Rattus norvegicus: one gene and its partner. Each later gene encodes a partner of the first gene's protein in a complex. Links are inferred from orthologs where the notes say so. Each region holds a gene or a part of one and is shown in the gene's direction. Other genes may lie near its edges.

Region 1 (4,101 bases):
AAATAGAGAGACTCTGTCTCAAAAAGAAAAAGAAAAGGAAGGAAGGAAGGAAGGAAGGAAGGAGCAAAGGAAGAAAGAAAAAGGTGAAGGTGACATTTGAGCAGGGATCCAGAGATAGGAAATAACGGACAGCATTGTCTAGCCTTGCTATCCTGACCCTCAGGAGTCTGAGGTGGGTGAGTCACGAGTAGGGGTGGGGGGTTGGGGGGAAGCCCAGGCTACAGAGTGAGCTCCTCCGGACCAGTTTGGGTTACATAGTGAGACAGTCTCAAAAGAGAGCAGGAGGGGGCTGGAGAGATGGCTCAGTGGTTAAGAGCAATGACTGCTCTTCCAGAGGTCCTGAGTTCAAATCCCAGCAACCACATGGTGGCTTATAACCATCTGTAATGGGATCCGATGCCCTCTTCTGGTGTGTCTGAAGGCAGTGACAGTGTACTCACATAAAATAAATAAATAAATCTTAAAAAAAAAAAAAAGAGAGCAGGAAGGGTTCATGAGAAGATTCATGAGGTAAACCGCCATTGTCTTTTGACCTGAGTTCAATTCCCACACATGGTGGAAGGAAAGAGCTGAACCAAATTCTGCAGATTTCCTCTTCCTTCCATAGGCCAGAGGTATTGGATTCCATGGAGCTAGTCCTAAAGGTGATCGATCGTAAGCTGCCTGATTTGGAGGTGGGGGGGTGGGGGCTGGAAACCCTAATCCTCTTCAAGATCAGAAAGTGCTTTTAACTACGGAGCGGTTCCTCCAGGCCCTTAATTAATGCATTTTTGTTTGTTTGTTTGTGAGCCTAAGCTTTAATATCTGAGTCATCTCTCCAGCCCATATTAATGAATGCTTAAAAAACACGTGGTAGAATCTTGCTAGAGTAAGAGTTCAATAAATAGGAGGAGCTGTTTTTAGGTTTCCTGTCTTAAGTTTGGATACCAGTATTTTATAAATCGTGCTTGTCTGGTACAATCTCGCCTTTGTAACTTAAAGGCTCCGAACAGCTTCCAATTCCTCTGTTATTTTCTCCTAAACTCTATTCCCGACTTGGACAACCAGGACAGAACCAGGAGGAGCAAACGTCAATGAACTGTAACGATTCTCTCGACATTCTACTTTCTGTGTTCTGTTCGAAGTCTTCGGCGATCCTCAGCGATGCCTTGGGCACCGCTTCTCTCCGGAGTCCGCCCTCTCACCGCTATGCGCACGCGCCAGTTTTCCGATTGGAGGAATGACGGGAAGACTCAGCCAATGGCATCGCGAGGAAGGTGGTGCTCTAGGTCACGCCCCCTCGTTGAATATTCAGGAGGCGGGCGAGTGGACGCCGGGACAAGCCGCCATGAAGTGAGATGGGGTCTCGGGAAGAGTGGTCGGCACTGCGGTGGGCGATGGGGCGGCCGGTGGGTGTAGCCGGGGCCAGGTCGCGGCGTGGAGAGGCTACGGAGACCGGTCCGGGTGGCTTCGGGGTCCGTGGCGGGGAGACGCCACGGAGGCGGGCGGGCGGCGCGGAGGCCGGGGCGGCTCGAGAGCACCAGGCACCGACGCCTCGTCGCCGCCAGGCTCAACGTGGATGGGCTGCTGGTCTACTTCCCGTACGACTACATCTACCCGGAGCAGTTCTCCTACATGCTGGAGCTCAAGCGCACGCTCGACGCCAAGGTGTGTGGTGAGGCCGTTCTCCTGGCACTCTGGTGGCTCCCGCAGGCTAACATCCTTGCTATCCCGCACCCTGAAAACCCAGGCAGGAGCATCGCTGCGAGTTTGGAGGCCAGCCGGGTCTGTACAGCGAGACTGTGTACTAAACAACAAATGTAATTAGCAGGACTAGGAGCCCAGTTGGTAGGGTCTTGCCTAGCTACCATGGATGAAACTCTGGGTTCCATTTTGGCACCGCATAAATTGAATGGGACAGTAATTACAATATGTTTGTAATTCCCGGAGCCGGGAGGCTCAGGAAAGATTTCTCGAGTTTGAAAGACAGCCTGAGTTTCATAGTGAGTTCCAGGCTAGCTAGGACTATATATAGGGAGACTGTTTCCAAAAACATTTAGCTAATAGGGGAGAGTCGGTTATAGCTCAGTTGGTAGAATACTTGCTTAGTGTGCCCAAATCCCAACACCAAATTAACACGGCATAAGATGATGCATACCTGGAACCCTAGCCCTGAGGAGGCTGAGGTGGGAGGAAAAGTGGAGGTTTGCAGCCAGTCTGGGTGAGTTCCAGGCTAGCCAGGGCTGTGTAGCCCGACCTTTAAAAAGATAAGGGCCATCAAGATGGCACAGCACTTCATCTTAGCAATCCTCCTGCCTTAGGTTCTTAGGTAGCTTGAGTGACAGGTTTTAATCACGCTGACGGGCAGAGGCTGATTGGTCTGTGTAGAGGTGTTCCTGGCAGTCACAGTAGTGGAGGGAAGGATTCCATATGTGGAGATCAGAGGGCAACTTTGTGGAGTTGGTTTTTCCTTCCACTTTTGTTTCGTTTTGGGTTTTGAGACAGGGTTTCCCTGGCTCTCCTGGAACTCAATGCATAGCCCAGGTTGACCTCAAACTCAGAGATCCACCTGACTCTGCCTCCCAAGTGCTGGGATCAAAGGCATGCACCAACACCACCCAGATATCCTCCACTTTAATGTGGGTTCTAGGGATCAAACTCAGGCTGTTAGGCTTGGTGGGAGCACCTTTACCTGCTGAGCTATTTCAACAGCCCTGAACACAAACTTATTTTTTTTTTTTTATTCTTTTTTTCAGAGCTGGGGACCAAACCCAGGGCCTTGTGCTTGCTAGGCAAGTGCTCTACCACTGAGCTAAATCCCCAACCCCAGAAACTTATTTTTTAAAAAAGTTTTTAATTATACTTACTTGGAATGTGTGTATACATGCTATGGTGTGCATGTGGAGGGTAGAGGAGTTGGTCTTGGGGATTGAACTCGGGTGATCAGGCTTGACCACAGGCGCCTTTACCAGCTAAGCCATATTGCTGGCCCACAAATGTATTCGTCCTCACAACCTTGCTCCAAGTAAGGCCTATAGAAGCAAGGATGTTGCAGTCCAGAGAGGTAAAGGTTCCTCCTGTCTGCTGCTCAGTAAACTCGTTAGCTGTGTCAGTAGGAGGGACACAGAAATAAGGTTCAGCCTGTAATCCCAGTACTCAGAAAGTGGAGGCAACAAGACTGCCAAACGTTTGCAGCCAGCCAGAGGTTCATAGTAAGTACTAGGCTAGCCAGGCCCTTGGGGTATAGGTGGGGATTAAGAATGAAAAATTTAGGGGCTGGGGATTTAGCTCAGTGGTAGAGCGCTTACCTAGGAAGCACAAGGTCCTGGGTTCGGTCCCCAGCTCCGAAAAAAAGAACCAAAAAAAAAAAAAAAAAAGAATGAAAAATTTAGGGCTTGGGGATTTAGCTCAGTGGTAGAGCGCTTGCCTAGCAAGTGCAAGGTCCTGGGTTCGGTCCCCAGCTCCGAAAAAAAAAATGAAAAATTTAGAAACATCCAGACCATGTCCAGTACAGAAGTCAGTGCTAGCAGCAGACCACTGAACTGAGAACAGGACCCCCTTGGGGGGAATTAGAAGAAGGAGATTGCAACCCCATAAGAACAACAATGCCGGGCTGGAGAGATGGCTCAGTGGTTAAGAGCACTGTCTGCTCTTCCAGAGGTCCTGAGTTCAATTCCCAGCAACCACATGGTGGCTCACAACCATCTGTAATGTGATCTTGGCGCCCTCTTCTGGAGTATATTCAGGCAGAACACTATATACACAATAAATAAACCTTAAAAAAATAAATAAATAAAAATAAAGAACAACAATGCCAACCAACTACATCTTTCAGGGACTAAACCACTACCCAAAGACTATACATGGACTGACCCAGGGCTCCAACTGCATATGTAGCAGAGAATAGCCTTGTTGGGGCACCAGTGGAAGGGGAAGCCCTTGCCAGAGTTGGACCCCCAGTTCAGGGGAATATGGGGGAGGTGGCAGTAAGGGGGATGGATGGGGAGAATACCCGTATGAGGGAGGCGGGGAGGGGATGGGGGTTTATGGATAGGAAACCGGGAAAGGGAATAACATTTGAAATGTAAGTAAAGTCCAGCAAAAAAGGAGGAGTGGGGATTG
Region 2 (4,196 bases), on another chromosome or scaffold:
ACATGATGTGTTGTACCGTCTCTCACACACACATGTATTTTGATTTTCATGTGTATGCGTTACAGCACTCTCTCTGACATCAGCTCGGGTGTGGGTCTTTTGTTGTTTGCTTCTTTGCGCACTATCTAACTGTCCTAAGAGCATACAGGGGATTCTTCTCTTCACCTTCCAACTCAAAGGAGCACTAAGATTACAGACTTTGGCATTACCATGCTGGCTGTTTTACGGGTTTTCTGAGAATTTGAACCTGTATCCTTGCACATCGAGTTTTCTGAGAATTTGAACCTGTATCCTTGCACATCGAGTTTTCTGAGAATTTGAACCTGTATCCTTGCACATTGGTGTTTTGGCTTTGACAGTGGGACCAGGGACTGTGGTGCGTACTTTACATATCAATGCAGAGCTGGCCCCTAGGTACTCCCAGCATCTTTCAGTCCCTACTTGTCATATTCTGCCCCCACCCTGAACTTTCCAGCTTAGAGGCTGGGTTGCCCTTCCTCAGAGGCTCTTCTCTTTCCTGTTTAATCCAGATACCTTGTGCTTTGTGCTCTCTCTCCTTTTCTCTCCCTCCCTCCCTCCCCGTCTCTCTCCCTCTCCCCTCTTTTCCCTCCCTGTCCTTCCCTTGGTGACTCCCCTGGCCTCCATTCTTGGGGGCCAGTGAACTTGCCTGAGAACAGCTTCCCAATAAACCTACCTTTTAATATGTTCTAGTTTGACTTGAATTGACTCATTTCTCTGGCAGAGAAATAACCTGTCAGTCGTTTTACACAATGAGCCACCTCCCTAGCCATTTTATTTATGTTTAGATGTACAGCTTCCATCTTTTAAAAGGCTTTATTGTATTCCTACACATTTAAAAATTATTCTTATGTATATGGGTGTTTTGCTTGCATGTATGCTTGTGCACCATTTGACTACCTGGTGCCCTCAGATGCCAGGAAAGAGATTCCTTAGAAACTGGAGCTAAAGATGTTAGACGTCATATGGATGCTGGGAATACAATCCAACTCTTAGGGAACAGCAGCCAGTGCTCTTATCTCCACATCCCCGTATGTACGTTTAACCAAGCCTCTATCAATTTTTTTTTTTGGTTCTTTTTTTCGGAGCTGGGGACCGAACCCAGGGCCTTGCGCTTCCTAGGAATTTTTATTATTATTTTTAGCAATTACAAATAACATTGGCGTGAATGACCCTGTCCGTGAAATTTTGTGCTGTGTATCTTGGGGATTTCAAGAGCATAGGACCAGTGCATGTAGCCAGTGTGGTTAGAAAACACAGGCCAGGAGTTCCGGCCTCCGGTCAGCAGGTGGCACTGCGCCCACGTCTAGCCGGAAGCGCCCGGGTGCCCCGCCGACAAACTGGTGGTCGCGCAGGCGCGCTGTGGGGCTGGCGCGGGAGACAGGCAGCCGGTCGTGATGCCGTACGCCAACCAGCCAACCGTGCGGATCACGGAACTCACTGAAGAGAACGTCAAGTTCATTATCGAGAACACGGACCTGGCGTAAGGAGGCGAGGGGAGAGGCGGGCGGCCGGGGCCTCGGGCTCCTGACCCCGGGGCTGTGTCTTCGGGGCCTCTCACGCTGCCTGCCTTTCCTCCTGTAGGGTGGCCAATTCCATTCGGAGGGTCTTCATCGCAGAGGTGCCCATAATAGGTAAGCGACCCTCCCTCGGAGCCGGTGCCGCCGTCCCTCCGCCCCGGGTGGGAGCTGAGAACACTGAGGAGGTGCACGCCGGGCTGCGGCTGCCTAGGCCCGCCTCGGTGCGTGCCTTGCTCGGCAGCGGGGATTCCAACTCTGTTCGTCTACCCAAAAGCAACAGAAATCAAGACTAAGCACTATTAAAACAGCCGAGGGCTGCAGCCTCCTCATCCGTAAGGTGACCCTAGGTTAGCGGGTGATACAGAGATTACTGAAGTAATGTAGATGGTGCGCTTTTGCTTTTTTTTTTTGGTTCTTTTTTTCGGAGCTGGGGACCGAACCCAGGGCCTTGCGCTTCCTAGGCAAGCACTCTACCGCTGAGCTAAATCCCCAGCCCCTGCGCTTTTGCTTTTAAGTCAGTGTTCGTTACTGGTTGGCGTCTTTTGAAAATGTCTGTTAATTTTACAAAATAACAGACTACGTAATGACATTTTTTAAATCTACACACAGAGTGATTTCTCCCGTCCTTCCGTCCTTCCAGATAGTACCCTGCTATACTTTCTTTTCTTCTCCCCCTATCTTCTTTAGAACATATTTATTTACATATATGTGTATATCTCTGGGCTCGAGAGTACCATAGTTCATGTGTGAAGGTCAGAGTACAGTTTGTGGGAGGGATTCTCTTCTCCCACCATGTGTGTCCCAGGGATTGACCTCGATAAGGCTTGACAACAAGTAAGTACCTTTATCCCGCTAAACCATCTTGTAGGCCCTGAACTCTCCTTTTATTTAAAAAGGGGAGGGGGAGGGAGGGAGGGAGGGAGGGAGGGAGAGAGAGAGAGAGAGAGAGAGAGAGAGAGCGCCCACATGAGAGAAAGCATGTGTGTTATTAAACTTTTCTTTTACAAACAGCATACTTTAGTTCTTTATGGTTGAAGTGTGTGTGAGTGAGAGACAGACAGATAAGACAGACTACAGGGTTTTTTGTATTTATTCTGGTGTCTTTTTTTTTTTTTTAATGAATTTCTTATTTCTGTAGATCATGTAAGTTTCCAGGTGAAGTCAAGAAATGAGCAAACATAACACAAGGCAAAATATGACAGCTGTCTTCAGGAGAGTCTAAACAGTTTTGTTTGTTTGTTGTTTGTTTTGAGAGAAAGGAAGGAGACCAAAAGAAGGGGATGGAGCATTTGTAGATACGCACACACAGGGTTTTTATACCGGGAGTTCCCACCAGGGGTTAAGGGATGGGGAGTAGATTAAGGGCATTGAGGGGGCCCTGGAAGTAAAGCGTCAGGAAGCCTCACCCTTGCTAGGGTTGAAGAAGCGCTGCAGGGAAGGGCAGGCTGGGCCTGTCCTCGCCTGGTCTTCTGACCTCTCTTCCTTGTGCCTATGGCAGCTGCTTGAGAACTGGGCTCCCACACCATTTGATTTCTGAACATCATTGTTTATGTGCAGGTGTTTGCTTATGGGCGATTAGGTACAGGTTTAAGTTAAGCTTCTGTGTGTGTACAGTCCCGTATGCCCAGCATTGAACTGAGAGGGGTTGGATTTATTGTTAGTGTGCTTTCCCTGTTGAAGCCATCCAGTGAACCATCCCTTGATGGGAGTAACACTGAAATTCTAAGTGGGCTCTCTGGTGATATCATAAATAAGGTGTGGGCCATGAACTTGTGATGTTTTACTTTTTACTCTTGAGATGTTTTCCCTAACTTGAAAATTTTTAAATTTTTTTTTTAATATTTATTTATTTTATGTATGTCAGTACACTGTTGCTGTCTTCAGACAAACCAGAAGAGGGCTCCAGATCCCATTACAGATGGTTATGAGCCACCATGTGGTTGCTGGGAATTGACCTCAGCACCTCTGGAAAAGCAGTCAGTGCTCTTAAGGGCTGAGCCATCTCTCCAGCCCTTTAAATTGTTTTTAACTGTCTCTGTGTGTAGGTGTTTACAGGTGAATGCAGGTGCCAGAGGTGCCCAGGAGTCTCAGATCCCCCTGAAGCTGGAGTTACAGGGGTTGTGAGCTACCTGACATGGGTGCCAGGAACCCTTCCCCCCCCCCTTTTTTTCAGAGCTGGGGACCGAACCCAGGGCCTTACGCTTGCTAGGCAAATGCTCTACCTCTGAGCTAAATCCCCAACCCTGCCAGGAACCTCTTAACCTCTGAGCCATTCCTCCAACCCATGTTTCCCTCAACTTTTAGGTGCCCAAATAGCTTTTATTCTTGGATTTGGTATTGGCACAGGTAGCTGGTTTAAAGTACTCAATTCCCTAAATATCTCTAAATTCTCTGAGGTAGGTAGGGGTGTATGTGTATCACTAACAAGGCCTATACCCAGTTCACTGGGGCAGGAAGATTATATATATGAAATGTGGAAGGCCTAAACCTGGAGCTAAACTTTGAAGCCTCTTACAGCCTAGTCTGGCCTGGTCTGGTCACCTTCAACTTTGTAAGCACTGACTTGATTCTTTCTTTTTTGTTTGTTTTGGTTTTTTTTGTTTTTGTTTTTGCTTTGGAGACACTGTTTTTCTTTTGTAGCCCTAGCTGTCCTGGAAC

What was found. The genes of interacting proteins can lie anywhere in the genome.
Region 2: Ercc2 (region 1) and Polr2c share a complex: the UniProt entries of both Homo sapiens proteins name them as parts of the TBP-based Pol II pre-initiation complex. The link is inferred for Rattus norvegicus from reciprocal best matches to the Homo sapiens genes ERCC2 and POLR2C.

Annotation. Positions count from the first base shown.
Region 1 is NC_086019.1:88,160,045-88,164,145, forward strand, and holds the start of Ercc2 (general transcription and DNA repair factor IIH helicase subunit XPD), read left to right. Parts: upstream 1-1,297; 5' UTR 1,298-1,327; coding exon 1,328-1,332; intron 1,333-1,547; coding exon 1,548-1,647; intron 1,648-4,101. UniProt on the Homo sapiens protein: ATP-dependent 5'-3' DNA helicase. Component of the general transcription and DNA repair factor IIH (TFIIH) core complex, not absolutely essential for minimal transcription in vitro.
Region 2 is NC_086037.1:10,168,126-10,172,321, reverse strand, and holds the start of Polr2c (DNA-directed RNA polymerase II subunit RPB3), read left to right. Parts: upstream 1-1,391; 5' UTR 1,392-1,415; coding exon 1,416-1,501; intron 1,502-1,602; coding exon 1,603-1,652; intron 1,653-4,196. UniProt on the Homo sapiens protein: Core component of RNA polymerase II (Pol II), a DNA-dependent RNA polymerase which synthesizes mRNA precursors and many functional non-coding RNAs using the four ribonucleoside triphosphates as substrates.